4 linked regions of the Tamandua tetradactyla genome follow. The protein of the gene in region 3 binds, or shares a complex with, the protein of the main gene of each other region. Links are inferred from orthologs where the notes say so. Each region holds a gene or a part of one and is shown on either strand. Other genes may lie near its edges. The genes, in order: POLR2C, GTF2H4, GTF2F2 and GTF2F1.

Evidence for each region.
Region 1: GTF2F2 (region 3) and POLR2C share a complex: the UniProt entries of both Homo sapiens proteins name them as parts of the TBP-based Pol II pre-initiation complex. The link is inferred for Tamandua tetradactyla from reciprocal best matches to the Homo sapiens genes GTF2F2 and POLR2C.
Region 2: GTF2F2 (region 3) and GTF2H4 share a complex: the UniProt entries of both Homo sapiens proteins name them as parts of the TBP-based Pol II pre-initiation complex. The link is inferred for Tamandua tetradactyla from reciprocal best matches to the Homo sapiens genes GTF2F2 and GTF2H4.
Region 4: GTF2F2 (region 3) and GTF2F1 share a complex: the UniProt entries of both Homo sapiens proteins name them as parts of the TBP-based Pol II pre-initiation complex. The link is inferred for Tamandua tetradactyla from reciprocal best matches to the Homo sapiens genes GTF2F2 and GTF2F1.

What each region holds. Positions count from the first base shown.
Region 1 is NC_135342.1:51,142,288-51,149,586, forward strand, and holds the start of POLR2C (DNA-directed RNA polymerase II subunit RPB3), read left to right. Parts: upstream 1-4,286; 5' UTR 4,287-4,363; coding exon 4,364-4,449; intron 4,450-4,621; coding exon 4,622-4,671; intron 4,672-6,233; coding exon 6,234-6,302; intron 6,303-6,434; coding exon 6,435-6,487; intron 6,488-7,299. UniProt on the Homo sapiens protein: Core component of RNA polymerase II (Pol II), a DNA-dependent RNA polymerase which synthesizes mRNA precursors and many functional non-coding RNAs using the four ribonucleoside triphosphates as substrates.
Region 2 is NC_135331.1:85,837,102-85,843,923, forward strand, and holds the start of GTF2H4 (general transcription factor IIH subunit 4), read left to right. Parts: upstream 1-3,806; 5' UTR 3,807-3,820; coding exon 3,821-4,054; intron 4,055-4,670; coding exon 4,671-4,813; intron 4,814-5,084; coding exon 5,085-5,189; intron 5,190-6,822. UniProt on the Homo sapiens protein: Component of the general transcription and DNA repair factor IIH (TFIIH) core complex, which is involved in general and transcription-coupled nucleotide excision repair (NER) of damaged DNA and, when complexed to CAK, in RNA transcription by RNA polymerase II.
Region 3 is NC_135330.1:113,744,433-113,751,939, reverse strand, and holds the start of GTF2F2 (general transcription factor IIF subunit 2), read left to right. Parts: upstream 1-4,504; 5' UTR 4,505-4,661; coding exon 4,662-4,727; intron 4,728-7,507. UniProt on the Homo sapiens protein: TFIIF is a general transcription initiation factor that binds to RNA polymerase II and helps to recruit it to the initiation complex in collaboration with TFIIB.
Region 4 is NC_135337.1:75,641,726-75,649,731, forward strand, and holds the start of GTF2F1 (general transcription factor IIF subunit 1), read left to right. Parts: upstream 1-5,045; intron 5,046-5,129; 5' UTR 5,130-5,189; coding exon 5,190-5,284; intron 5,285-5,635; coding exon 5,636-5,708; intron 5,709-8,006. UniProt on the Homo sapiens protein: TFIIF is a general transcription initiation factor that binds to RNA polymerase II and helps to recruit it to the initiation complex in collaboration with TFIIB. It promotes transcription elongation.

The sequences.
Region 1 (7,299 bases), on a different chromosome or scaffold from region 3:
GTTTTCCCTATTATTAACATTTTTCATTAGTGTGCTACCTTTGTTATAATTGATGAATCAAAATTATTTAATTATATCGTTAATTAAAGGCCGCAATTTACATTACGGCTCATTCTTTGTGTTGTACAGTTTTATGAGGGATTTTTTGTTAATTGTGGTAACATATATACAATATAAGAATTTCCCTTTTAACTACTTTGCAGCCTACAATTCAGTGATTTTAATTACCTTCACAATGCTGTGCTACCATCAACACTGGAGATAATACATTTTATTAAAGTAAAGAACATTGGGCTTTTTTCCCAGCAGCTTCAGAAGCCACATATGTGACCCAGACTTGAGGGTGGAGGGGAAAGGATGAAGGCCTATCATTTAAGGACTTGAAAATAACTAGGGTTTAATATTAGCAAGAGTGGAAAGATAGGACATTCTTAATACACTCTCAATGAAATTCGTAGAATCTAGTGGACAATCTGACTATAAAAATCTGCATAGTTGATTCAATTAAATAAAAATGTATTCAAAAAGATCACTTTTAAATCAGATTAACAAAGAATAAAATGTTTGATAATATCCATGTTGCCAAGAAATGGTGTTCTAGTTTGCTAGCTGCCGGAATGCAATATACCAGAAACAGAATGGCTTTTAAAAGGGGAATTTAATAAGTTGCTAGTTTACAGTTCTAAGGCCAAGAAAATGTCCCAATTAAAATAAGTCTATAGAAACGTCCAATCAAAGGCATCCAGGGAAAGATAACATTGATTCAAGAAGGCCAATGAAGTTTCTCAAGTGGAAGGCACATGGCGAACACGGTCAGGGTTTCTCTCATCTGGAAGGGCATGTGGCGAACAGGACGTCATCTGCTAGCTTTCTCTCCTGACTTCCTGCTTCAGGAAGCTCCCCAGGAGGCATTTTCCTTCTTCATCTCCAAAGGTTGCTGGCTGGTGGACTCTGCTTGTTGTGGCTATGTCATTCTACTCTGCTCTCTCTGAATCTCCCTTTCTCCAAAATGTTTCCTCTCTTATAGAATACCAGTAAACTAATCAAGACCCACCTGAATGGGTGGAGATGGGCCGCCACCTAATCCAGTTTAACAACTGCTCTTGATTAAATCACATCTCCAGGAAGATGATCTAATTACAGTTTCAAACATACAATACTAAATAGGGATTAGAAGAAATGGCTGCCTTTACAAAGTGGAATTAGGATTAAAACGGCTTTTCTAGGGTACATACATCCTTTCAAATCGGCAAAGATGGAAAATCAGGAAATAACATCATGAGGGGATTTACTGGAGATTATTTGGTCATATTTATCAAAAATGTATTCATACCTTTTGAGCAGTTTCAGGTGAAGGAATTTGTTTAACTGGTACTTAACTGTGGAAAAGGATGTTCATACAGCCCTATATATAAAAGTAAAAAACTAGCCACACCCTTAATGTCCATCATTATAGAACTGATCAAATAATTATATTTTTATATGATGTAAAGAATTATATAAAAGGAACAAGTTGATTTGTATGTACTGATCCTACACACTTTGGAAGGCTCTATAAGAAATTTAGGTTTTCCAATTTATTTCCACAGAATAGCACTTCCAAATGTGTGTTTTTTTATTTAACCGAGAAGGCACAGGCTGTATTAATTTCCTGTGGCTTTCTAAACAAATAATCACAGGCTTTGTGGTTTAAAACAACAGAAACTTGTGCTGTCAAAGTTCTGGAAGCCAGAAGTCTAAAATCAAGGTGTCCACAGGGCGTGCTTGCTCCAGAGGTTCTTGGGAGGTTCTGCCCTTTACCTCCTCCATCTTCAAGTAGCTATTGGCATTCTTTAGCCTGTGACTGCATAACTCCAACCTTTGCCTGCACCTTCACATTGCCTTATTTGTGTGTGTCTTCTCTGTGTGTTATCAGGACACTTGTCATTGGATTTAGGACCCACTGGATAACTCAGAATGATCTCTTCTTAAAATCCTTAACCTAGTTATATTAACAAAGACAAATACGATATTCACAGGTTCCAGTGATTAGGATGTGGACATATCTTTTGTAAGGGCCCCCATTCAGCCTCACTAGACAGGTCATGGAGCTAGGGCCCTCAAGCTCTTCCTCTCAATCTCAGGAAGAGGTCTCATTTCTTTTATTAAAATAAGGAGCATTAACTTTTGTCTTTTGTTTTCAGCAATTTGAGAAGCCACTAGAGGGGAAGGGATAGGGTACAGACCTGTCATTCAAGTATACTTTGCTAAAGTATTCTCATTACTAAAGCATACTTTCATTTTCCATAGAGGTTAAAAATTTACTTCTGTCTTCTTATGGGCTTCACTTTATTCTTATGTATTTAACCAAGTCTCTATCAACAGACAATTGGTTTTGTTTGTAATCTTTTGGCATTATAAACAACACTGCAGTGAATGTCCCTGAATATGTATCTTTACTCACAAGTGCAAATATATTCTGCTGAGGAATTCCTAAAAGTGTTATTGCTGAGTTAAAAGCTATATGCATTTGGGTCTTTTCCTAATATAACTTATGTGGACAGCTTAATCGAACACCATAGTACTTGGAACCTTGCGTAGGGCATGAGATTTTGTATGTTTGTCCAGAGTGATGTCCAGATAAATCCCAGAGCGATTTGAACAGTGAATAGGAAAGTATTTGCAGAGTTCGCTAGGGGAAATGGTGAGGAAGGGGGAAAATTCAACTTCCCCAAGTGGAGAGTTCTTGATGTTCTCACAGGCAGTAGGCGACAGCCAAAGCAATAGGCCGAGCCTCTAATCTTGGGGTTTGTTCATATGAAACTTAATCCTGCAAAGGATAGGCTAAGCCTATTTAAAATTTATAGACCTTAGAGTCACCCCCAAGAGAACCTCTTCTTTTGCTCACATGTGACCTTTCTCTCTCTTGGCCAACACAGCAAGCAAACTCACTGCCCTCCCCCTCTCTACATGGGACATGACTCCCAGTGGTGTGGACTTTCCTGGCAACATGGGACAGAAATCCTAGAATGAGCTGGAACTCAGCATCAAGAGATTGAGAAAATCTCGACCAAAAAGGGGGGAGAGCAAAATGAGACAAAATAAAATATCAATGGCTGAGTGTTCTAGTTTGCTAGCTGTGGGAATGCAACACACCAGAGACATTGGCTTTTAATAACGGGATTTATTTCGTTAGTTCTTCAGAGGAAAGGCAGCTAACTTTCAACTGAGGTTCTTTCTTACGTGGAAAAGCACAGGGTGATCTTTGCTGGCCTTCTCTCCAGACCTCTGGGTTCCAACAACCTTCTCCAGGGTGATTTCTTTCTGCATCTCCAAAGGCCTGGGCTGAGCTGTGAGTGCTGAGATGAAGTATATGAGCTACTTGGGCTGTGCTACCTTGAGCGCTCTCATTTAAGCACCAGCCAATTAAATCAAACATCATTCATTGCAGCAGGCACACCGCCTAGCCGACTGCAGATGTAATCAGCAACAGATGAGGTTCACATGCCATTGGCTCATGTCCACAGCAATAGATCTAGGCATGTTCACCTGGCCAAGCTGACAAGTGAATCTAACTACCACACTGAGAGATTCCAAACAGAGTTGAGGGGCTATCCTGGAGTTTATTCTTACACATTAAATAGATATCACCTGTTTAGTTAACGTGTAATGGAGAGGCTGGAGGGAACTGCCTGAAAATGTGGAGCTGTGCTCCAGTGGCGGGCCGTGTTTCTTGAAGATAATTGTATGATGATATGGCTGTCGCAGTGTGACTGTGTGGTTGTGAAAGCCTGTGTCTGATGCTCCTTTTATCTACGGTATGGACAGATGAGTAAAACATATGGATTAAAAATAAATAAGGGGGAACAAATGTTAAATTTAGTAGATTGAAATGCTGGTGATCGGTGAAGGGAAGGGGTAAGGGGTATGGTATGTATGAATTTTTTTCTGTTTTCTTTTTATTGTTTTTTCGGAATTGATGCGGAATCAAGAAATGATCATGATTATGAATGTACAACTATGTGGTGATAGTGTGAGTTATTGATTATATAACAAGAACGGAATGATCATATGATAAGAATGTTTGTGTTTGTATGCGGTTATGTATCATAAATAAATTAATTTTTTTAAAGCTATATACATTCAGGACTGGGGGCAATGTCAAATTTCCCTGCGAAATGAACCTGGTGCGTTTTGAAGCAGTTGGATTTACAAAAACTTCCTTCGATAGTCAGGCCCGGAGCAGTTTTGGTCTCCGAACAGCAGGAGACGCTGTGAGCGCGTCTTAGCGGAAGTAGCCGGGGCCTGCAGGCGACTTCCGGTATGGGCGGCCGCTGAGACGCCGCGGAGCTGACGGCAGAGGCTGGGCCGGCTGCGAGGCGCAATGCCGTACGCCAACCAGCCCACGGTGCGAATCACCGAGCTCACGGACGAGAATGTCAAGTTCATCATTGAGAATACGGACTTGGCGTAAGACTGCGGAGGGAAGAGACTGAAGGCTCTAGTGCTAGAGTGTCCCAGGGAGGGGAGGCTGGGGACCTCGTATCCTTCCAGAACTGGCACCTCCTGTGCCAGGGTCTTCGCTTGGGAAGTGGGGCCGGCCGTGGCGGCGCCTTCACCCTGCTTCATTTTCCCTCCTCAGGGTGGCTAATTCTATTCGGAGGGTCTTCATCGCCGAGGTGCCTATAATAGGTAAGCGACTTGGCCACATTGCCTCTCCACCCATGGGGCTTCTGCTGCAAACCCTTGGGTGAGGCTGGGGGTAAGGGTGGGGTATAGCTGGGAGCACTGAGAAAACAGCAATGCTGGAGACTTACCTAACCCCATGTCCTTGGCCTGGCCACTGTTGGTCACTTCCCTGACTCTCACGGGTCACTTAGGTCCACCGTTCCATATACACTGGCATTTAGAGGGGACAGACTCGATTTCTGCTCTGGTTTTCCAGGTACTTGATATATTGACAAGTATACTACAGAATTTTCTGAGTGTCTGCTCCCAGAGTTTTGCTTAAGCAAAAGAAGAATGTTATAGGTACTGCATCAGTGTGCAGTCTATTGTGAAATGAACAGGCCAAGTGATAAGCCACAATGTTATTTTGTGGCTTATCTCCCACCTCGGCACCAATCACTTCTTCAACTCAGAGCATGGAGTGCTAGTTGGACTTAATGATACAGCCTGAATTCTGAGTCTAAATGCCACTTGTTCCACAAATTCAATTCTGCAAATATTGGGTACTTCCTACAGTCCAAGCCACAGCCAAGAATACAAAGGTTAAGGTATCTCAAGACTCTACTGCAAAGAATTTTCAAAGCTAGAAGTAGAGTCAAGGTGCACACAAATAAAATACAAGGCAAAATATGATAAATGCCTTGAGAGGTTTGGACAGTTTTTTGAGTGAGTTCAAAGGGAGAGAGTGATTGCTTATGTCTCATGGAAGGCAGGCAAGGCTAGGGTTTTGGAGAATCAGGATTTCAGCAGGCAGAGGGGAGGGTAAGGGTATATCAGGGGGAGTAATGAGGCAGAAACAGAACAGCTTGGGTTATGGTCCTTTTTCGGCTGAAGCAAATGGCTTGGGTTGGGGAAGCAGTAGAAAGCATAGCAGGACAAAGGAAGTCAGGGCTGGCTAGGGCTGGCCTTCTTCTGACCCCATTCCTCATGTTTAGGCCCTTCATTTGAATGAATGAACGTGTGTTTAAACAAGTATATGTGAGAATAGAGCCCTTTTCCTCCCACTAGCTCATTAGAAGGTATGGGGTTCTATACTTAGTATGCCTTGTCTGTTGAGGAATTCAGTTAACATGAATTGATTTAATAAAGTGCAAAATTGGGTGAACTGGTCACTAGTTCATAAACTGAGATAAGGGCCATAAGTCTGTGTTACTTCTGTGAGGTTTTACCCAATTTTTAAATGTCCAAATAATTTGTGTTTTTGGAATTCATGTTCCCATGGGTAGCAAATTAGTGCTTCTCATGAAAGTATTCAGCACAAAGAAATATGTTCCCACTCCCAGTCTCTAAGACAATGTTTTGTTTTTGTGATAACAAAGACCCCTTTGCATTACATTCACCGTGTGTCTTGTTAAAATGAAGATTCCTGGGCCACTCTAGAGCTGTAGGATCAGTCTCTGGCAGCCTGGCCAAGGCACCTATGATATAATAAATAGCAGGTGATTTCTAAATCTCACAAACCACTACTCTTAATTCTGTAGCTGAATTTGGTGGCTAAACTGCATCTCTGTTTCCTTCACTTTTAGCCATTGACTGGGTACAGATTGATGCCAATTCCTCAGTCCTTCATGATGAGTTCATTGCTCACAGGCTTGGTGAGTGTTGGGTTTGGGTGTTGGAGGGTGCAGTGCCTGGTAGAAACCTTACTTGCATCCATCGTGGCATCTTCTAGGTTCCCTTTTGGGTTGGCTGCTTAGCCTTTAAAGTGTTTTTTTTGTGTTTTCCAGGATTGATTCCCCTCACAAGTGACGACATTGTGGAAAAGCTACAGAACTCCCGGGTATGCTTTGTGGTTGAATAAAAGGGGAGGCAGAGTGGGAGATGCCTACCTACAGTTCTCAGAGTGGTTTTGCCCAACAGTCTGGATATGTCAAGAACCTGAGACAGGGCTTGGTCCTCAATTCTGACAGGGCTTCAGATTCAGTAGGCTCAGGGGGCATCAGGAAGTCCCATTAGGTAGCCACACAAGAGGATAGTATATACCCCAGAATGCTCATTTATACTGAAGAGTGAGGGCTGTATCTTCTCAGAGTCTGAGCTATTCAGACTCTGTATTCCAGGGCCTCTCTTCCCAGTGACGGAGGCTTAGGAGGCTAAAGGAAGTCAATGGGAAGTTGGGATGGTGAAGGAGAGGAGCAGAAGGATTGGGAGCTGTCCCACAAGAACTGCACCTGAGGGACTGGCTATTCGTGTCTGCCAGGTTCATGCCCCTCCCCCGCAGGTGCTGCAGGTTTGCTCTCTACCTGTACGTTTGCTCTCCCAGAGGATGCAGTAAAAGGTCTTTGTCAGACTGGGGATAGAGTGGGATTGGGTTGGGTTCCCTTCACTAGGGCTGCATTAGGTAATTTGAGACTATTAGCTCATGATGTCTTTGGGTGATCCTGAATTGACCCTTTTCTAATATTCCCAAGGGCATGTCATTTCTGCGGTGGCTAATTCAATATATCTTGTAAGTCTATATGTATTTTTAAAAAGACATTCAAACATCCAGAAAACTATGGAGGTAGTTTAACAAATGAAGATGTTCCTATTAATTAATGTCCCATCATAACATTTTGCCATATTTACTTCACATCTCCAGATTTTTTTAAA
Region 2 (6,822 bases), on a different chromosome or scaffold from region 3:
TGTTTCTTTTAAATATATTTAATATTAACATCCAGCAGGAGTTGTGCTAACTGCTGACATTTTCATGTGCCCATGAGCATGAAGAATATTTTGAGAGTTCCACAACAGCTGTAATGAGATATAAAAATACCTGTGATGTCCTATTAGTGACAAGCCACAGGTACTGATTTTCAGTGGGGTTTTCTATGTTCATAATTGAAGGAAGTGTTTCAGTCAGAGGTTAGGAAAAACAAAGGTGTAACCTTTTTTTCTTACCCAAATTCTAGGACCCTCTCAGGATCTGGGAGGTCCAGGTGAAGTCCAGCCTAATTTAGATTAGGCTGATGAACTGTACAAATAGCCCAATAGGTTCGAACTGTTTGGATAGAAGCCAGAACCCAGAGCCTAAATTATCTCAGAGGCCTGGAAGGATGAGTCACAACCACCAAGAGAGCATTTAACAAAGAGTACAGATTTGGCTGGAAAGGGAGGAGGTAAAAAAATAATAATAAATAAAAAAAAAACAGCCACCAAAAATAGTTGCAAGTATCGGACTGGGCAGACACGTATTGCTAGCAGTTCATGAGAAATAAAGACCCTGGGGTATTTGGTTGATGCTATTCTCAAAGCGAGTCAACTGGATAATGAGCACACCAATAAAAGATACTTTAGTCTTACGTTGAATGAACAGGCTCTCGGGGGTCAGGTCTAACAGTCCTACTGAAACCTACACAGGTCAGACCACTGTGTACCACAATTTAAGACGGGCGCCCACAGGTTGGAGTTTCAAGGCCAGACCCAGAACGGCGAGCAATGGAAGCCATAGCGGTAAGCCTGGAACTCTCTTTTGAGCTCTAGACCTCAATAACCACCTGAAGTTTATTTGAATGTCAATTTCAGCATGTCCAAACCTGTTCCTCCTCCCTGGTTTCTTGACTCAGTAAATCATCATCCACTCAACTGGACAAGCCAGAAACCAGGCAGTTCTTCTTAACACCTCCTCCCCCCTTACTCTCACTTCCCAAGTCCAGTCTGTCCATGAAGACTTGTTGATTATGCTGCCCCAGTTTCCCTTTAACTCATTCATTTCCCACCATCTCCATCATTGTCCCGACACGGGCTACCGCCCTCTTGCCTGAACCGCTGCAGTCTCCTAGCCGGTCACCCCCAGATCTGCTCCTGTTCCGCTGTGGTTTCCTTTTGGCACTGCAGCCAGAGTAATTAAAAAACAAAACAAAACACACATGTCCGACTCTGCTCCTTTATTTCAAAACCATTGATCTTAGAATAAAAAATAACATCTTCTGGCCAAGTGTGGGCCACACACACCTACCTCTCTAGAGTCCTTCTCTGACCTCTCCTCTAGGCATCCCTAGCCTTCTTTCAGCTCTTCCAACATGTCACAGTTCCTCCTGCCCAGAGCCTTTGTAGCATGCTATTCCTTCAGCTGGACCGTGCCTGCTGTCTTTGTCCTGTTAACTTCTACTTGCCCTTCAGCAGCCGTACCTCACCTCCCTAACCAGGTCAAATCCTCTACTGATACTCTCAGAGCCCATCAATCTCTTCTTTGTAGCACTTTTACAGGTGCGATTTTACATGTATTTGTGCACATATACTTTCTTATACCTGCCTTTCCCACTAGACTAAGCTCCACAAGGGCAAGTTCAGTAAATACTGGTTGAAAGGTATCAGTAAATACTGGTTGAAAGAAAGAACTTTTGTCAAATATCTAAAGGTTAATATAAGGGATTGGATTACTCTGTGTAGCTAGGGAACCAGGGTCAATACGTGAAAGTTATAGAAATCAGTAATGATGATGAATATTTGTTAGGTATCCTACTTATTTCACAATGAAGAGTATTAGGTTAAGCAACATGCCTAAACTTGCATAGCCAGCAGATGGCGGCACTGGGTGGGAAGCATGCTAAAGGGTGGCTCTATGTTCTTTCTGTCCAGGAAGCTGTCTGTTGGGAGGAGGTTGTGAGCTCTCCATAGCAGGGCATTTCCAAGCACAGACTGGACAACCCTCTATCAGGGAGCTCCTTCCACAATTTCAGCCCCCAGGCCCCCTGTCAGGCCCAGCAAGCTGATTTTCTTCCTTAAGTTCAGTTCCAGGAACAGTTATGTGCTCAGTTCCTGCCACTGGACATCTTGCCCTCACCCACTGCATCCCGTAGAGCAGGGCTCGCCAAGAGGTCTGCCCAGTTGGCCTTTGTCTGCTCCCTCCAAAACGAACCAAATGGCCTTTCAGTTTTACACATGCCTAAAATCTGTTTACAAAGGTGCCATTAATTTATGTACACCATTTTGTAATCTGCTTTTCTCCCCTTGCTGATAGGCCATAGATAGCTCCAGGCCACTAAATATACCTGGCCTCCTTTCAAAGTGTTGCCCAGTATCTTACATTGTTGGGACTATGCACGTTTTATATAACCGACCCCGAGGGCAGACATCTGGGTTGTTTCCATTGCTTTCATAATACAACAACAAACATGCCTCACTAAACATCTCTGCATGTATATTCCTGCACCCATGTGGGAGAACTTCAGTGTGATATATCCTTAAAGCTGGAGTTGCTAAGTCACATTAAAATATTGCTAGATACTGCCACATTACCCTTAAAAAGGCGTGCATATGCCAATCTTCAACACAAGTGTATGTGTATGCTCTTACATCCTGGCCAGCACTGACGTTGTCAACCCTTAACTTCATTTTTTTCCTAATCTGACATTTTATTGTCTCTTTAATTTACCATATTTTGTTTCATAATTTACTTTTCCTTAATTACTAGTGAAGCTGCAAATTGTTCCTCTATTTATAAGGCATTTGTATTTCTTCTGCTTTTTGCCTGTTCCTCTCTTTTGCAGATCTTTTCATTGCACTGTTCCTTTTTCTTACTGCTCTGTAAGTTTTCTGCATTTTATCTGTTTTATCAAACATTTCTTCCCAGGCTATAATTTGTATTTTGACTTTCTTTACCTTGTGCCATAAAGAAGCTTTATCAGTTCTCTGTCATGCTTTGAGGATTTTAAACACTGACTGCCACAGAAACAGGGAACAAGAAGATAACATGTACCAGCTGCAAAGGCTAACGAAGTCTTAGGCTGTCCTTAGCATTTTGGTCTTCGGTCCCTCGCTTCCTTGTAAACGCGTCTCAAAACCCAGCCTCATCACTTCGTAGCTGTCTCATACGTGGGCAAATTTCTTCATCTCGCTGAGCTTGGGTTTTCTCGTCTGTAAAGTGGAAAGAACAAAGGTCGCCTCACAGAAACTTGGGGAAACGCGTAGCTCTGGTCTCGACTGAAGACATTCCTTTCCCTTTCCCTGCAGTAGGTTCGAAAATCAAATCAGAGCAAACGACTGGCTTCTTTAAGAAATTGTATTTATCAGGACCTTCTAATAAACGGTGTAAGCGTGGTGGAGGTGGAAATTAAGATTTACATGCCAAGTAAGGCGTAATGGGTCGTGTTAACACCTAACTCGCGAAAACACTTTAGGAGTGTGCTTTATGACAATTTTAGGGGGGTGTAAATGAGCTCAAGGAACCCAGTTTCGTGTATCTATAAGCCTAAGCGTCTCACCGCCGCCGCATCTCAGCGCGCTTCCTCCAAGCGGCCCATCTACTCCCGGGTCCCGCCTCCCGCTAAGGCCGGTGAGCAGCGCCGTTATCAGCGTGGGCGGAGTGAGCAGCGGAACCAATCGGCCCGGCCTGGCGTCCTCGGCTCTCTCCATTAAAACCAGCCTCTCCCCGGCTCGCTTCTCCGCGGTGCCTGTCGGGAGTTGTAGTCATGCGCGTGCGAGCCCGATGGGAGCGAGCGAGGACCAGACTCCAATTCCCAGCATGCCCCGCGACAGGCGGGTGCAGCACTTATTCTTGCCTTTCCACTTTTCCACTCCTCTTCTGAATCCGTCCCTCTCGGCTCCTGTCTGTGGAGTCTTTCGTTCTTCTCCCCATTTTTTTTTTCTCGTATTTTTCACCATTCTTTCCCCTATTCCCAGGAGCTACTGCGAAACATTGGCTCCGATTAAGCGACCGCTCGAGACTCGGGGTGCACGAGGTGGGATCAACAAAGTGGTGAGGCAGCCCTGGGAAGGTGGGGTGGCGGAGGTATCAGGCAGAGTTGGGTGAAAGGCGCGGAGTGGGAGGAAAGTAGAGGAAAAGTTAGGACATAGGACGGTGTGGGGTCAGAGTGAATGGGGTGAAAGAGACTTGGGGGGGAGGGAGAAAGGTGGAATTCGATTGGCGAGACATGGAGGGCAGAGGTAGTTTATTGTGATGCTTAGCAAGAGACGCAGGGCGAAGAAATAGAAGGTGGGAAGGACTGACAGATTTGCATCTCACAGGTTGATCTGGCCAGGAGGGGCTGGGATGAAAGCAAATCGGGCTCAACTGCTCAATTAAAGATAAGACAAGTCATTGAAATACAAAATGATCATTAATTCTGTCACCTGGAAACAGAGAAGACTGAAGTTGAGGACAGAAGTGGGTTGAGGAGGCAGGAAAGGAGAGGAGGCTGGTCAGATTTTGAAGTAACATGAGATGAGTGGCATATGGAAGAGGGAGCCACAGAAAACCTGGGTTATTTAGGGTGGGGGTAGGGGTGGAGGGATCTGGAATTCTGATGAGAAAGGTGAGGGGAGACATAGTCATGGATGGTGGGGATGTGCTTCTAATATTTGGCGTCTCTCAGGTGATGGAGAGCACCCCCACACGGGGTGGACTGAACCGAGTACACCTACAATGCCGGAACCTGCAGGAATTCTTAGGGGGTTTGAGCCCAGGGGTATTGGACCGATTGTATGGGCACCCTGCCACCTGTCTGGCTGTCTTCAGGTGAGGACCTCTTCATGGCAAGGACCATGGTGGGGAAATGTAATGGGAGCCTGCAGACTGGAATAAGTTAACCCTGAGGGTTCTTGGAGATTACTCCAAAGGGTGGCAGACCAAAACGAATGGACTTTTGAGATTTGGGGGGCACCGGCACTTGTAAGGACTTGTATTTGTGTGTGTAAGGAGGTGAGATGAAATATTTGAGAGGTTCTTGGAGGCAATTATAGATATAAATCAGCTTCTGATGATAACATTTGACCTCTACTTTCTACAGGGAGCTCCCATCTTTAGCTAAGAACTGGGTTATGCGTATGCTCTTTCTGGAACAGCCTTTACCACAAGCTGCTGTAGCCCTGTGGGTGAAGAAGGAATTTAGCAAGTGAGTTTCCAATGCATCCTCAGATAGATACACATTTCTTTTTTTTTTATTTTTTATTTTTTTTTATTTTTTATTAACGGAAAAAAAAAAAGAAATTAACACAACATTTAGAAATCATACCATTCTACATATGCACTCAGTAATCCTTAACATCATCACATAGATGCATGATCATTGTTTCTTAGTACATTTGCATCGGTTTAGAGGAACTAGCAACACAACAGAAAAAGATATAAAATGTTAATGTAAAGAAAAGAAATAAAAGTAGTAGTAATAGTAAAAAAAAACAACAACAAACAAACCAACAAGCAAACAAAAACAAAAAAAACCCTATAGCTCAGATGCAGCTTCATTCAGTATTTTAACATGATTACTTTACAATTAGGTATTATTGTGCTGTCCATTTTTGAGTTTTTGTATCTAGTCCTGTTGCACAGTCTGTATCCCTTCAGCTTCAATTACCCATTGTCTTACCCTGTTTCTAACTCCTGCTGAACTCTGTTACCAATGACATATTTCAAGTTTATTCTCGAATGTCTGTTCACATCAGTGGGACCATACAGTATTTGTCCTTTAGTTTTTGGCTGGATTCACTCAGCATAATATTCTCTAGGTCCATCCATGTTATTACATGGTTCATAAGTTTATCTTGTCTTAAAGCTGCATAATATTCCATCGTATGTATATACCACAGTTTGTTTAGCCACTCTTCTGTTGATGGAGATTTTGGCTGTTTCCATCTCTTTGCAATTGCAAACAACGCTGCTATAAACATTGGTGTGCAAATGTCCGTTTGTGTCTTTGCCCTTAAGTCCTTTGAGTAGATACCTAGCAATGGTATTGCTGGGTCGTATGGCAATTCTATATTCAGCTTTTTGAGGAACCGCCAAACTGCCTTCCACAGTGGTTGCACCCTTTGACATTCCCACCAACAGTGGATAAGTGTGCCTCTTTCTCCGCATCCTCTCCAGCACTTGTCATTTTCTGTTTTGTTGATAATGGCCATTCTGGTGGGTGTGAGATGATATCTCATTGTGGTTTTGATTTGCATTTCTCTAATGGCCAGGGACATTGAGCATCTCTTCATGTGCCTCTTGGCCATCCGTATTTCCTCTTCTGAGAGGTGTCTGTTCAAGTCTTTTTCCCATTTTGTAATTGGGTTGGCTGTCTTTTTGTTGTTGAGATGAACAATCTCTTTATAAATTCTGGATACTAGACCTTTATCTGATATGTCGTTTCCAAATATTGTCTCCCATTGTGTAGGCTGTCTTTCTACTTTCTTGATGAAGTTCTCTGATGCACAAAAGTGTTTAATTTTGAGGAGCTCCCATTTATTTATTTCCTTCTTCAGTGTTCTTGCTTTAGGTTTAAGGTCCATAAAACCACCTCCAGTTGTAAGATTCATAAGATATCTCCCAACATTTTCCTCTATCTAGATACACATTTCTTAACAGCTGTATTTCCCGAACTGCTGTTTCTTGGGTCACTTCCAGGAAATATTAATGGGTATACTACAAAATTCATAATTAAGTAATTTTAAGAAACTCTGCCTACTGTATTTTTCTTCTTGGCAATAGAGCAAGTCATGACATGTATAGACTTTTAAGTCTTATAGTAAAGGAAATTTATAGTA
Region 3 (7,507 bases):
GTTTACAAAGTTCTAAGGCCAAGAAAATGTTCCAATTAGAACAAGTCGATAGAAATGTCCAATCAAAGGTATCCAGGGAAAGATACTTTGGTTCAAGAAGGCTGATGAAGTTCAAGGTCTCTCTCTCAAGTGAGAAAGCACATGGTGAACACAGTCACAGTTTCTCTCTCGGCTGGAAGGGTACATGGCAAGCACGGCGTCATCTACTAGCTTTCTCTCCTGGCTTCCTGTTTCATGAAGCTCCCTGGAAGGCGTTTTCCTTCTTCATCTCCAAAGGTCACTGGCTATGGACTGTCTGCTTTGTGGTGTGGCAACATTCTCTACTCTCTCCAAATCTCCTTCATTCTCCAAAATGTTACCTCTTTTATAGGACTCCAGAAATTTATCAAAATCCACCCAAATGGGTGGAGATAGGTTGTCACCTAATCCAGCTTAACAACCACTCTTGATTTAATCATATCTCCAGGGAGATGATCTGATTACAGTTTCAAACATACAGTATTGAATAGGGATTATTCTGCCTTTACAAAATGGGATTTAGATTAAAACATGGCTTTTCTAGGGGACATACATCCTTTCAAAAGAGCACAGGCATCCAGGGAAAGATACCATGGTTCAAGAAGACCAATGAAGTTCAGGTTTTCTCTCCCAAGTGAGAAGGCACACGGCGAACACAGTCAGAGTTTCTCTCTCATCTGAAATGGCACATGGTGAACACACATCATCTGCTAGCTTCTTCTCCTGGCTTCCTGTCTCATGAAGCTCCCCAGGAGGCATTTTCCTTCTTCATCTCCAAAAGTCAGTGGCTGGTGGATTCTGCTTCTCGTGGCTATGTCATTCTGCTCTGCTCTCTCTGAATCTCCCATTCTCCAAAATGTTTCCTCTTTTATAGGACTTCAGAAACTAATCAAGACCACCCACATGGGTGGAGACATGCCTCTACCTAATCCAGTTTAACAACCACTCTTGATTAAATCACATCTCCGGGGAGATGATCTAATTACAGTTTCAAACATACAATACTGAATAGGGATTAGAAGAAATGGCTGCCTTTACAAAATGGGATTAGGATTAAAACATGGCTTTTCTAGGGTATATACATCCTTTCAAACCAGCACAGTGATGAATATACAACTATGTGATGATATTAAATGATTCATTGATTATATGTGAAGAATGATTGTACATATGTTAAGAATGTTCATGTTTGTATGTTGTTATGTTTGTCAATAAAAAAATTTTTTTTTTTTTAATTTACCACTGAAGGTTCCCACTTTTGATTATGCTTTACATTTCAGTGAATCTGGTCATCACTTATTTAAACTCGTTTCTACCTATTTGGGCGCCAATTCTAGGCTTATATCTGAAATTCTCTCCTTCCTTGCCTGCAGGATTGGTTAGAGCTGTCCTGCAGCCGTTTCCTGCACTATCTTTTGTGAAAGCTAAACCTCATTTTATTCTTGCAACACCTCTTCTGGCCTTGCCCATCTCATTTGATGACAACTTCAACCTTCCAATTTCTCAGGAAAAATTTAGATCCAACTTTGAATTCTCTCTTACACATCCCATATCCAATCCACCAAGAAAGCCTGTGGGCTCTGCCTTTTAAAAAAAGGTATGTTCAAGGACTTTAACAAATATAAAGCAAGGAAAAATATAAGGGACCCATAATTTCAATAAAATGTTGAAGATAGCAACTGAGGCGGTTTAGACACACGAAAAACATCTTGCAGGCCTCTGAGGCAGGAGGAGGGCATCTTCCTAAAATCTGAGGAGGTTGAGCAAAAACAGGATACTTTGTTCAAGCACAGGGCATAGACCAATCACAATAACCCATTTACAATTTTTAACTTGAAAGTCTAGAAAGCTTATCACAATAGCCTATTTACAATCCTTAATTTAAATGTTTAGTAACCAATCACAATGTACCAATATCCCAAACCCCACCTCCCTCTGTTTAATCTGATAAACCCTTATGCCAAACAACTTGCCCAAGTTTCTCCCCTGAGCATGCATGTGTTCCATGCACCCATATGCTCTCCTTTCAAGTGTGTACTTTGTTTTTCTTCAATAAACTTTTCTCACTTGCTTATACCTGCATGTCTCATCCTTGAATTCCTCCTTGCGGCGAGACATCCAGCCTGGAACCAGGCTTGAATGACCTCTGACAACAGCAACCGGTTACAATAGATGGACCTTACTTAAATCTTCATTTAAGTCAGCCAACTGGATATTTCATTTTAGGAGTGATAGTATGGTTAGTCTTTTTTTGTTTGCTTTTGTTTTTTAAGAAATATGGATGAAATCTAGAATTTGCTTGAACATATTTGAGGTGGGCTTCGGATGGGGTTCTAAATTAAACAAAATTTCCCATGAGTTGATGTTCTAGTTAGCTAGCTGCTGGAATGCAGTATACCAGAAACAGAATGGCTTTTAAAAAGGGGGATTTAATAAATTGCTAGTTTACAGTTCTAAGGCCGAGAAAATGTCGCAATTACAACAAGTCCACAGAGATGTCCAATCAAAGGCATCCAGGGAAAGATACCTTGGTTGAACAATGCCGATAAAGTTCAGGGTTTCTCTCTCAAGTGAGAAGGCACATGGCAAACGCAGTCACAGTTTCTCTCTCATCTCAGAAAGGCACATGGTGAACACGGTGTCATCTGCTAGCTTTCTCTCCTGGCTTCCTATTTCATGAAGCTCCCCGGGAGGCATTTTCCTTCATCTCCAAAGGTCGTTGGCTTGTGGACTCTCTGCTTTGTGATGCTGCAGCATTCTCTGCTCTCTCTGAATCTCTTTCATTCTCTAAAATGTTTCCTCTTTCATAGAACTCCAGAAACTAATCAAGACCCACCCAAATGGGCAGAGACATGTCATCACCTAATCCATCTTAACAACCACTCTTGATTATATCACATCTCCAGGGAGATGATCTGATTACAGTTTCAAACATACAACGCTGAATAGGGAGTAGAAGAAATGGCTGCCTTTACAAAATGGGATTAGGATTAAAACATGGCTTTTCTAGGGTACGTACATCATTTCAAACCAGCACAGTTGATAATTACTGAAGTTGGATGATGGAGGTTATTGTTGTATTGCTACATTCATAAACTTTTGAAATTTTCCATAATGTAGAAAGTAAGAAAAGCTTGGGTAAAACACACACACATACACACACACAGAACAAACAAAACTTAAAGTAGTTTCTTTTATCTACTTGTCCTTTATATACTTTTAGACCCCTTCCCAAGCTGTGACACAAGAAAAGAACCTTTTTTTCTAACACACTGCTCCCATCTTTCCTATTAGTTTTCCCAGGTGACTTCAGAGACCTGATAGTCTTCCAGGCCCTGTGCAGAGAGACATGGAATTATTTTTGTGCATGACTCAATGCGTGGTTTAATACACTACTTGCCATTCTTACATCTTACTGTTTGTTTTTCTCCAGCAAATGTTCATTCAAGCAAAGGCTACTGAGATCTGACAATGTGTCAAACACTGTGCTAGACGTTATGAATATAAAAATGAATAAAATGCTATTTCTGTCTAGGAAGAGCTCATAGTCTAGAAAGCAAAGGCAGACATGTAAACGTATATTTCAGTGCAGTATGCTAATACCACACACTGTAATATGAAAAACGAACTTTCTCTGGGGGAGTTTGATAAAAGGTCTCATAGAAAGTGACACTTCCATCAGTCTTGAAAGATTAAGTAGGAGCTTGCCAAGCAGGGGACAGCAATGCGAGTGGGCGTGAGGGAAGAATAGGACATCAAATGGAAGGGAATTAGAGCCTCTGAAATGATTGCCGAAGATCCTGTCATATTCACAGAGGTCTGCTAGGTTCTGCGTGGTTGAATGTTTGGTGGAGAGGAGTGGCAGGAGGTGAGAAGGAATCAAATTGGGGAGGCCCATGCGGCAGAGAGGATGGAATTTTATTCTAGAGGCAAGAGAGACAGGAAACTGTTGAAGCTGGGAAATTAAAAAACTAGGCTTGTCTCTCACATGTCCACACTGTTTTTGACCTAATTATATATATGAGGTCCGGGTTTTGGAGCCTTCAAGGTGTGCCTTCACTGCTCAGTCAGAGGTTCCTAGAACAGCCTCTTAAGTTGAGACACTCTTCTTTTCAGGTTTAGAAACGGCACGTTTTCAGTATACCCAGGGTTAATCAGTCCCATCTCAGGGCTCACGTGTGCTAATTCGCGTCCCAGAAACTTTGAACACCAGTGCAAATTTACTATTATGCGCACCCTGCCCAGCAATTTTCTGACTCTCTCTCCTTAACCAGGGTTGGACATAAACTGGCAGCTTTTGTCTCGCTGAACTCCATTTTTCTGCTTTGACATAGTCTTTGAAGGTTTGCTAGCGTTTTGGCCCGACCCACTTCTTTAAACCGCTCAAGACACCACCAGCTCCACGACCATTCACCGGCCACGCTCATCCAAGAGGCCCGCCCATCTGACGCGGATTTTTGCCTGCAGCAGCACGCCGTACTGACGTCAGCAGTGCGCAGGCGCAGTTCTGGTCACCAGAGGCGTGTTTCTCTTTCCTCGGGTTCCCTGCTTCCTGGCTGGTGGGCGATCCCGGCATTTCGCACTCTCACTCCCTCCGCGGCTCGACCTTTGCTCCGGCGCACGCCTCCATCGGTGACCGAGCCATGGCGGAGCGCGGCGAACTCGACCTGACCGGCGCCAAACAGAATACGGGAGTGTGGCTGGTCAAGGTACTGTTCGCTTGGCTCCCGCCTGCGTTTCTTCTAGTAGAAATTGTTTAAGTCACTTGAGACAGTCCCACTCCGTGCAGCCTTTAAAGTCCTTTTATGACCATCTTATTAGAATTTCGCATACCTGAAGAGGCAGGAGTTAAGACGTTCGTTTGTAGACGGAGGTGCTCAGAGAGACATAGTGTCGTTTCAGTCAGTTAGGAGTTGGCTCCTGCCTGGAATGCGTCTCCCTTCCCCACGAACTGGCTTGCCCTGGGACCTGTCTTGGTGTCCACGACTTCAGCTTTCTCTCTTAGTGAAACCAGTGTTAGTCTAGAGTCAGCATACTGAATTTAAGAAACTGCTTTCTTAATCTTCTGTACGGTCTTCTTAGCTAGAAAGAAAACTGGTCCCTGCATACCCTTGAAAGTGTTCTTTTTAGTCGGCGGCGTCTTGATGGAGAGCACCGAACACATGGGAGAAGAGGCTATCGATGGCTGGAGTTTCTTTTTTTTAATTAGAGAATTTTGGGTTTACAGAAAAATCGTGCATAAAATGCAGGATTCTTATATACACCCCACCACCACCACCCGTACTTTGCATTAAGAGTTTTATCGTCAAGTCCATGGTTTAATTTAGTATTCTGTTTCTGTAAGCAGTTCCATGGATTAAAAAAAAAGTTTTATTGTTACGTTATATACAATCTCACATTCCCCTTTGAATCATATTCAGCCATACATTTCAGTGCTGTTAATTGATTTAACAGTGGTGTTGTATCATCACTACCATCCATTATCAAAACATTTCCATCATTCCGAATAGGAACCCTGGGCATTTTAAGCCTTAACTTCCTGCCCACCCAGTCCCTTGGTAACCTATGTTCTAGATTCTGACTCTGTGTGTTTGCTTATTCTAATTGTTTCAAAACGGTGAGATCATACACTATTTGTCCTTTTGTGTCTGGCTTATTTCATTCAGCCTGTTGTCTTCAGGGTTTGTCCATGTTGTCATATGTATCAGGGCTTCATTCCTTTCTACGGCTGAATAATATTCCATGTTTGTATATACCACATTTTGTTTATCTGTTCATTGGTGGATGGACTCTTGAGTTGCTGCCATCTTTTGGCAATTATGAATAATGCTGCTATGAACAAGAGTGCAAATGTCTGTTCCTGTCCCCGCTTTCAGTTCTTTTGGTATATACCTAGTAATGGGATTCTGGAGTAGTATGATAGTTCTGTACTTAGCTTTCTGAGAAACTGCCAAACTGTCTTCCTCAGTGGCTGCACCATTTTACATCGCCACCAGCAATAAATGAACGTTCCTAGGACTGGTTGCTTCTTTTAGGGCACTTAACGGGTGTGGTGAAATTGACAGTAAGTGTTTTTTTTAACGACTGTTTCATGTTTGGGCTACATCATTTGCAGTCAGTAGCCCTTAGAAAGCACAGTATTTGTGTTTGACTTGTTTTTATTGGGGAGTGTTGTCTCTTGGAGTTTCAGAAGACATAGGCATGTTCAAAATATGAACATGACATTCTTTGAGCCTTACATAAAATGTAGGGATGTTTGGTTTGTTAATACGTGAGGGACTTGTCACATGGATGAGTCCTCATCAATTAAGTTTCAGAGAGCTCCTTCCTGTCCACTCCTTTAAGCCCTTTTATGGTCATTTGTGAGCATGTCAAACCTGTATTATAGTCATCAAAGCACTGGGCATGGTCTAAAATTATCCCCCTCCCCCAACACACAATCACATTCTGTGAAAAGCATCCTTACCTATTCTGGGTATCCTTGCATGTTACCCAGAATAGTGTTTGGCACATGTAATCACTTAAAAAATATTTGGTGAGTGAATGAATGAATGCATGATCTCTCTTTCCTTGCCCTAGTCTGTGGCACTCTTTTGACTTATTTCCCGGCCACATCAGTATGACTTAAAAGGCTAGAGTAAACAGCCATTTGTCATTCAAACTGCATGCTAAACGGAGGAGATTCTTTAAGGAGAAGCTCTCTCTTGTTGGATGAAGAAGAGAACTTGAAAAAGTTGTGGATCTTGATGTGTCTGTGCTTGGAGCACACTAAATGTTTTGTGTTACAGAATTTAGATTGGTGAACAGAGATAGGACATAGTATACCCTGAAGATCAGAGCAGAAACGTGAAGCTGAAAATGCATTTTAATGTGATATGTTTTGGAAAACGAAGAGGAGATCATTATGCCTAGAGCAGAGAGTGTCCATGAAAAAAAAGTTGGGAGGTTGGAACCATGTATCTAGATTGTCATATCATGAAATGGGGTTGTTTTGGTCTATATGAAGTGATGGATCTTTGGAGAGTTTTGAGTAAGTTAGGAATGCAAAGCATTCTTTTAGGAAAAGGTAAGCTTAACAGTGTCCAGTAGGAATTAGAGGGGGAAGGTGACCAGAGTGAAAATTGGAAAGTTTTTGCAGTAAAATAGGTATGAGATGATGAGATCTGATGAGTAAGGGAAACTTTCAGTAAAAGTTGTTGGGATTTGATGACTGACAAAATGAATGTGAAAGAATGTAATGAGTATAAAATTGAAGAACTAAAAATATTTTTGGTGTTTTCCCATCTAAGCCCATTTGAATACACTTTATCTTTTAAAACGAACTCAAGCCAATGATTTATTCTTATTTTATAGATAGTTGTAATGTTTTGATTATTTTTTTATTTGCCGAATCATTAATCTCTTGTATCAACTTGGCATGCGTTTTTTTCGTTTTTCTAATTTTATGGATGAAGAAAGTGAATGGACTTGCAAATATATCTTTCAGGGG
Region 4 (8,006 bases), on a different chromosome or scaffold from region 3:
TCACATGTGCTGCCCGAGGCTCGGGGAATGGAGTCATTTGCTGGAACTTCATGTGCAGGAAGTGGCAGAGGGTGACCTGAGCCCAAGTATGGCTCCCCTCAGGGCAATGTCAAGACAGGGCATCCGGAGACCTGAGTTCTGACCTGTGCTCCCCACCTGGGTAAGTTTTCCTTCTTGGGTCTCAATTTCTCCCTCTGAAAAATAAGGTTGTCAGTCTCCCTGGAACAGAGATCATGTCCAACCTTGGCTTTCTATGAATCTTCCTCTGATGAGGTCTTCAGTGTACAGTGAGAGCAAGAATCGTGAACAGAATAAGCGCACACTTCTAAGCATTGTGTTCTTAAGTGACGAGATTTCTATCTGGACATCCATCTTCAAGCCAGGCCAGCATACTGCACCAAACAAAGTCAGCCTTAAAACAGCAGCTGCGTGAACCAAGCGGGATCAGCGATGGTGCTTCCCAGTTTGTGCAGCTGGATTGAAGGGCCGAGCTGGATGGCTCCAGGGATGCTTTCCTGCTTAGAACCTGTCCAGTCTGATGACCCTTAGGTAGAGGGGCCAGGCCGACGATGGAGACCTAGAAAGTTCTCCACGTCCACAAAGCAAACGCTAGCAGAATGGACAGCCCTGTTCATCTCTGGTCTTCTCACTTTGGCAGCCACACATTCCTCTTTCAATTGAAACAAGCCTGCATGATAGTAAGTGAACAGGTGACCCCTGGGCTCGGTGCTCGAGTGAGAGCTGGGAGGGGGTCACCGTGGCAAAGGGAGAAGGCCCAGCCTGTGCACGGCTGCTTGGGGGTGTGGTTAAGAGCATGTAATTGGGAACTGGACTGCTTGGGCTTCCATTCCGCCTTCACAAACACTTAGACTGTGTGACCCTGGACACGGTCCGAGATCCTCTTGTGGAAAGGCAGTATGGGGACTAGAGCCATCCCTGACGGTGACAATTCAGCCATGCCAAGCGTAGAGAACAGTGCCGGCCCAGCCAGCACTCAAGACGCGTCCCCGTCCCTGTTGCCAGGGGGACGCATTGCCAAGTCAGCCGGCTTTTTTTCAAGAAATGTGATCTGAGATCTCCCAGTTTCTGAAGGTTCACTAAGAATTCAAGAACAAGGCTGTCTAGTCCCAAATGGATGCATCTGTGGATCAAATGGGTAGGTTGTAGGTTCTGTCTAGACTCTGCAGCCACTGTGGGGTCCATGCAGCTGGCAATTATGATGGGAAACCTATTTAAGGCCAGAACTTGGCCCTGAGGCCATGGAGGGCAGAAAATGGCTCAGCCAGCCCTGTGCTCTCCTGGAGTCTCCATCCAGGAGGGAGGGAGCCCAAGATCTGCCCTTTAACTTCATCACAAGTCGTCTGGTGTAACTGCTTGAATGGAGACAGGGACACAGGGCAGCACCCCACTGCTCTGTGACCTTTGATTGCATCAACACATCCAGACCACTTTGAAGGGAATTTAACCAGAATCGACACCCGCTGTAGTTTCCCTCTTCCTGCTACCCATTTCCAAATGGAATCAGAACAATCCCAGATGCTCCTGCCCTCAGCCTCCCCGTTCAGAGGCTCAGATGGATCCTTTCATGGAGTCAGTGTCCACAGGTAAAATTAACCTGAAGAAATCCACTCCAATGTCCTCTGTCCCTTCCCTTCCCCGCCTCTGCCTGGGTCGCTATTCCACCACCTCTGGGGCTGCTTCCAACTCCATCCCTCCACTCCTGGGCACCCCCCAGACCACCTAAACTTAGAGAGCCCACTCCCATCCCTCCAGGATTCATTCTGCTTTCTGTTCCCCACTGCCCTCATCCCTTCCAGAAGTTTCTTTGTTTTGTTTTGCACGTATTGCTGGGCGCCTGATGTCCCCACTGGAATGGCAGCATCTTAAAAGCAGGGCCCATGTTCCTCCTCTTGGCCTTTGTCCCCAGGCCCGAGGACAGCACCTGTTCTCAAGAACTATTTGGGAATGGGTGGTTGAATAGATGAAGGAGTGGTGATTTACATCCCATCCTGTGCCCTAAAGATGATACAAACTCAGTGGGGAACTATTTTATCTACTGGGTTCCAGGAGCTCTGGAGGAAAACAGTGAGAGGCCCTCAGAGAGCTCACTCAGGTTCTAGAAACTTCCCCACAACCTGACTGTCCCTTGATAACACATTTCCCTTCGGTCTCCTCTGCCGAGTCTCACTCTGTTGCCCTCGGCTTGCCCTCACACACACATACACGTGCTTTTGGGGTCACTCACAATGCACTCAAACTCCTTGGCCTGCTGCAGTTCCCGAAGGAAGCCATCAATGAGGAAGCCCTGGCTGTCCGGGCAGGACAGCAAGTTGTCGCTGACCATGTCCAGGATGATGCCCTGCGAAGGAAGCAGGTGGATCTGGTGTTTGGGGTGGGGCAGGGGGGCCCTTCCCTGCACCCACCACCCTGGGAGAACTTTTTTTATATGATCACTTTGATGGGGTGACACCTACCCTGCCCAGTGGCCTCTGAAACCCACTTCTGAGGATGGGCACCCCCCCCACACTGTTGACTGGGTGGGTGTCAGTCCAGGTGTGCTGGGTCCCATATGATTGAAATAACAATATCTCGAGGTGGGTCCTGGTGTTACAGAGGGGGTCCGGGGTCCACCCAAGGCCACAGAGGGAATAAGGCCCAGATGATTTTATGGAAAGCTTCCTAAGTGCCAGGAACTTCTGCTCAGTGCTTCAGAGGAGTGACCCACGCCTTCGGACATGGGTCCAGTCGGTCAAACCTGTCTCCCAGATGAGGAAACGGAGGCTCAAGGCAGGCCAAGCAAGGGCTGGGAGCCACGGCCACCTGGGAGGTCTGCCTGGTGCACCCCCTCCTGCCCTGACCCTTGCCCATGAGCTCTCACCGTGGGCACCAAGAGCCCCTGCAACATGATGTCACGGATCTGCCGGCCCCGCTGAGTGCCCCGCTGCGCCTCCTGCCGCAGCAGCTGGCCCAGCCCCACGTGGCAGAAGCTATATCTGTTTGCCATATTCTTGCACTGCGTCCCTTTGCCACAGCCGGGGCCGCCCATGAAGAAGACGATGAGGGGGTCTTGAGGACACCTGTGGTGCCCAAGGAAGAGGGAGGAAGACGATTTGGGGTCTGATGGGCTGGTGAGCACCAGTGTAGCTGTGTTCACAGTTAGGGCGTGCTCTTGGGTGGCAGTGCACACAGGTCTCCTGGCATACCCTCTTTTGCCCTAGGATGGCCTCTGGGGTCCCTGGACATATCCAGGAGTATACCCAGGCACGTTATGAGTTGCTACTGCCATGGGCGGCTGTCCACGAGCAAATGAACTCGAGCAGGCCAAGCTCTTCACAGCATCTCCTTGAATCAGCCCACCAGCTCTATCATCGCATTTCACAGTTGAGGAAACTGAGGCTTGTAGAGGAGCAGGGACTCTCCCATGTCCCCAGACTCATTCCATCCTCCCCTGCCCCATCCCAGTGCCCATTTTTCTGTTCCTTTGAACATGCTGAACTCATTCCTCCCCAGGGACCTCCACCTGGAACACTGCTCCAGCTCCTTCAGGCCACACATCAGCCCAATCCTCCCCCTCTCATCCCCAGTCTCAGGACACCATTTCCTCCACAGCAGAGACCATGGCCACTAATTATTTTGCCCATTTACTTGTTCTTGTTTGTCTCCCCAGCCGGACTCTGTCCTCCATGGAGGCAAGGACTCTTTCTGTCTCGCTTATCCCTATATTTCGAGCGCTTGGCACAGTTCCTGATATATAGTCATCAGAGAGGAATAAAGTAATGCCCAAGGCTACCAGGCACATCTACGGAGCCTGTAGTTTACAGTTGCATTTTTGTGTCTTGCTCCCCTCTCCCTTTGCTTGGTAACTCTTCTGCATCCCTCGGGGCCCAGCTGAAACCTCCCATCTCTCCTGAGCAGGGAGTTGGTTTTGCTCAGTCCCCCAAACAGCGCAGCACACAGTCGGAGCAGGTGGACCAACGAATGAATGGCTGCGTGGTGAGCATGCGCGGTCGGCGGAGGCGGGGAGACCGCGCATCTGCACTTCCCTCCTCAGTTCCCTTCCCCTGCCCCCAGAAAGCTAACCACCCCAGCTGTTACCCTTCTCCTGGGGCCTCAGGGTCCTGCCCATTTTGGGCAGCTTGGACTTGCACAGACCCATCCCGTCAGCCGCCAGAGGGGTGGTCGCTACCCATCCCTACCCAGGGCCTGACCCCTCCTGGCTAGGCTCGACGTCACAAGGGCTCCCTGGTCCGACCATCTTCCGGGATGAGGGGGTTCCCCGGGGGCAGGAGGAGGAAATGAACCCCAAACAAGCCCTGGTGGAGCCGCAGTGGCTCTGCGGGATGAGTAGGCCTCGGCTGCTATGGTAACAAGGATTCGATGGATTCACTTCCGGAGATGACGCGTGCGCAAGGCGCCTGGGACTCAGCGAGGAGGGAGACCCCCTTTCCCTACCCAGAATGCCCCGCGGCCATTAAGGGGTGACGTCGATGGGGAGGGCGTTCCCAGCCGCAGTGATTGAATCAGTCGCGCCTCTTTCTATATATAGATAGTGGAAAACCAGAGCGCGAGCGGCAGAAGGTGCTGCATTGAGTTCAACTCGGTCTAGAAAGAGAAGGGATAAGTGTCAGCAAGTGTAGGGGCCCGCGAACCAGGAGGCGGTTGCCATCGCGACACGGGGCCACGGAAAGTTTCGCTTCCAGGTCAGGCGGCGGCGCAGGCGCAGACGGGCGGGAGTGGGCCGGCGGCGCTGAGGACTTGGGGTCTTCTGTCAGCGACCGCTTCCCGCGACTAAGAGGACTGCTTCCCCGAAGGCTGAAGGACGCGAACCTCGGGGGAGGCAAGAAGGAGGAGGCCCCGACAACTTGACTGGGTCGGACGGCACCCGGACCACTGACTGTTCCCATGGCGGCCTTAGTAAGTATGCGGCGGCTTTAGGGAGTCCCGACCCGGGTCTCTTAGCAGCCCGCCCGCTCGTCATCCCACTTCCTCTCTCCACAGGGCCCCAGCAGCCAGAATGTCACTGAGTATGTCGTCCGAGTTCCTAAGTAAGTCCCAACCCCACATCCCATCTGCCTCCAGACGGGAATTACGACCTCTACGAGCTTCTAGGCGTGTCTGATTCCTTTTAGATCGGGAGCCTTTGAGGGCAGGTTGAACTGAGGTCTCTCCAGGGGCTTCTGTTGTTTTGAATGAATAAGCGGGCGATCATCACTGCACAGCATGATTCAGGCTCCTGGCCTAGCATTGGAGGCCTGTATGCTTCTCTATTCCCCGCATTCTTGCTGTAAGGACATATTTTTATCCTTTCTCCACTGGTCTGGCTTTCATTCATGTCCAGGACCTCCAGGAAGCACTCCCTGCTTGCCTCCAGCTCTGCCCCCTCCCTTGCTCACCCTACTCTCCAGAGCCAAATTCCCCCAGGTCTTTGTCCTTATTTCTGCTGTACTTTTGCCTGTGGTTGGGAGAGTGTGGATCTGGCTTCCTTGACAGACTGGAAAACCCTTAAGTCTTTTATGAGTCCCTAGCATTGCCCTGCCCAGAGGGTCAGCCCAGAAGGGTTTGTTGAATGAACAAATGTATGAATGAATGAACACTGCCTTTTTTTTTTTTTTTTTTTTTTTTTTGCCCACTCAAGAAACACAACCAAAAGGTATAATATCATGGCCTTTAATGCAGCTGATAAAGTCAACTTTGCTACTTGGAATCAGGTAAGTCCTTTGTTTGGGGGTGGGAGTAGGTGGATGAGGGAATGAGAGAACCTGATTCTAATAGCTTGGAAAGGAAGGCTGTCCTGGAGTGGAAATAAAGTGATGACTAAGGCCCAGGCAGAGCTGCTGGATGTCCGCTTAGGGGATTTGGCAGACCCTTCAGAAAGCCTTCTTCAAGGAGAATGTTTAGGAGTCATGCCCACTAATGGGCATTTTGGGCCCAGATTGTCAGGGCCAGGAAGGGACTCTGCTCTGGGCTGCCTCCTACACGTGGCTCCAGAGCCCCCTGCAGGAGAGCTTCTAGAAATGACCTTGGAAGCCATGAAAGGGTTTTTCAAACAGGCAAGTCACAGAGTTATCTAGCTGCTGGGGCTAGGGAGGCAGCACTGCGTCTGGTGAGCAAGGCTGGGAGAAAATGGAGGTGATGAGCAGTGGTTGGACTCTGATATGTTTCGGAAATAGAGCCTACAGGGTTTATTGATGGATTGCGTATTGGCCAGTGAGGGAAAGTGAGGAATCACAGATGTTTCCATTTACTAAGATAGAGAAACCTGGAGAAAGTGCAGTTTGGATGGAATATTCCAGAACTCCATTCTGGAAATTTGTATTTGTTAGATACCAAAGAGAAGATGAGAAGTTAAGCAAGCAGTTGGATATATGAGTTGGAGTTTGGGTGTGAGTGGGAGTCGGGGTGTTTAGGGTGCCACCGAGACTGGGCAGTTGAGCAGGGAGTTGGTGGAAGGTTTATAGCATTGGCAGCTTCAGGCCCTCCCACAGTTGGGCAGCTCTGATTGCATATATTGTGAGCATGGTTCTCTTTCAGCTGTTTTCAAATATTGTTTCATCCAATTGAAATAATGAAACTATATGTTCAAGATGGCTCTGAGTGATTGATTGCCCTAGAGAGCGTGTTCCAGAGAGATATGCCGTGCCTGCATCCCGGGATCTCTAGCTACAGATCTCTAGCTACCTACTTACGTACAAACTAACAAGGTCAAACTAACATGCTTTCCACCCCCTACCTGGTCCATTCCCCCCATCCCAGCCTAGTCTGTCATCTGATACAGTGTTTCTAAATCCCTTATCACTGGGGGAGGGGGGCTTCTGCACTAATCATCCAGGAGAGAGATGTAGGGGCACCCTTCTCCCAAATCCCTAATCACCAAGAGGAAGTCCTCACTGGTTACCTGGGAACATTACCCTTAGTCCTTCATCAACCAGAGGGCTGCCCTTCCCTACCCCCATCCCCGAGCACCTAGAGAACTTTACACCTTTGGAGGAGCTGTGCTCCTAAACACCAGTCACTTTGAGGAGGTGCTACCCCAACACTGATCTTTCAGGGACAGCACTTGAGAAGTCAGCATTATGCAAGGTGCATGACCTCCCGACCACTAGAAACTCGGGGTTCTGCGTACCCCATTCATTGATCGCCATGGAGAAGCATGCCCCCACCACTGATTGCCCTGGAGGACTCCTTGTTTCTAATCTGGGAGATGAGGCACCACCACCCCCCCCCCAAAATCTAATCATTCCATTGCCGAGGGTACTGCTTCTAAAGAAATATCATTGTTCAGGGTACCCTCCTCTAAAAAAACTAATGAGGAGTGGGCAAAACTGCACCCCTTGGAAGAAACCAATCTCCTGGAGTAGATGCCCCCTTAATCACTGTTTTAGTTTGCTAAAACTGCCAAAGGCAATGTACCAGAAATGAGTTCGGTTTTACAATGGGGATTTATTAATTTACAAGTTTAAAGTATGAAAATGTCCAAATCATGATGTTTTCTCCCCATTGACTGATGATCCTCAGTTCCTCTGTCACATGGCGAGGCATGTGGCTGGCATCTGCTGGCCCTTCTTTTTCAGGTTTCCTTGCTTTCAGTTACTGTCTGCTCAGACTGTGGCTTTCTTTCTGAGTTTCTGTGTGCTTCTCTTTTAGCTTCTGTCCCTCTTAGCTTGTGTCTGATTCTGAATGTCATTTCTTATGTAGGACTCCAGTAAGAAGTTTTCAGACCCACTTGGGGCATACCTCAACTAAAATAACCTACTCACAAGGCCCCCACCTGCAATAGGTCTACACCCATGGAAATAAATTAGCTTTAAAAACGTGATCTTTTCTGGGATATGTACCATCACATTCACTCATCACCCCAAGAATGGGGTGGTTACAGCTCTCCAAATGCTGTCAGCCACAAGGGACAGCCCCTTTCCTGACACTTAACCACCCCCAGGCAACACTGGGGTAGAAACTACCCCCAGACACATTCATTCAGCAATAGTTCCTTGAAACTGTCTTCTAGG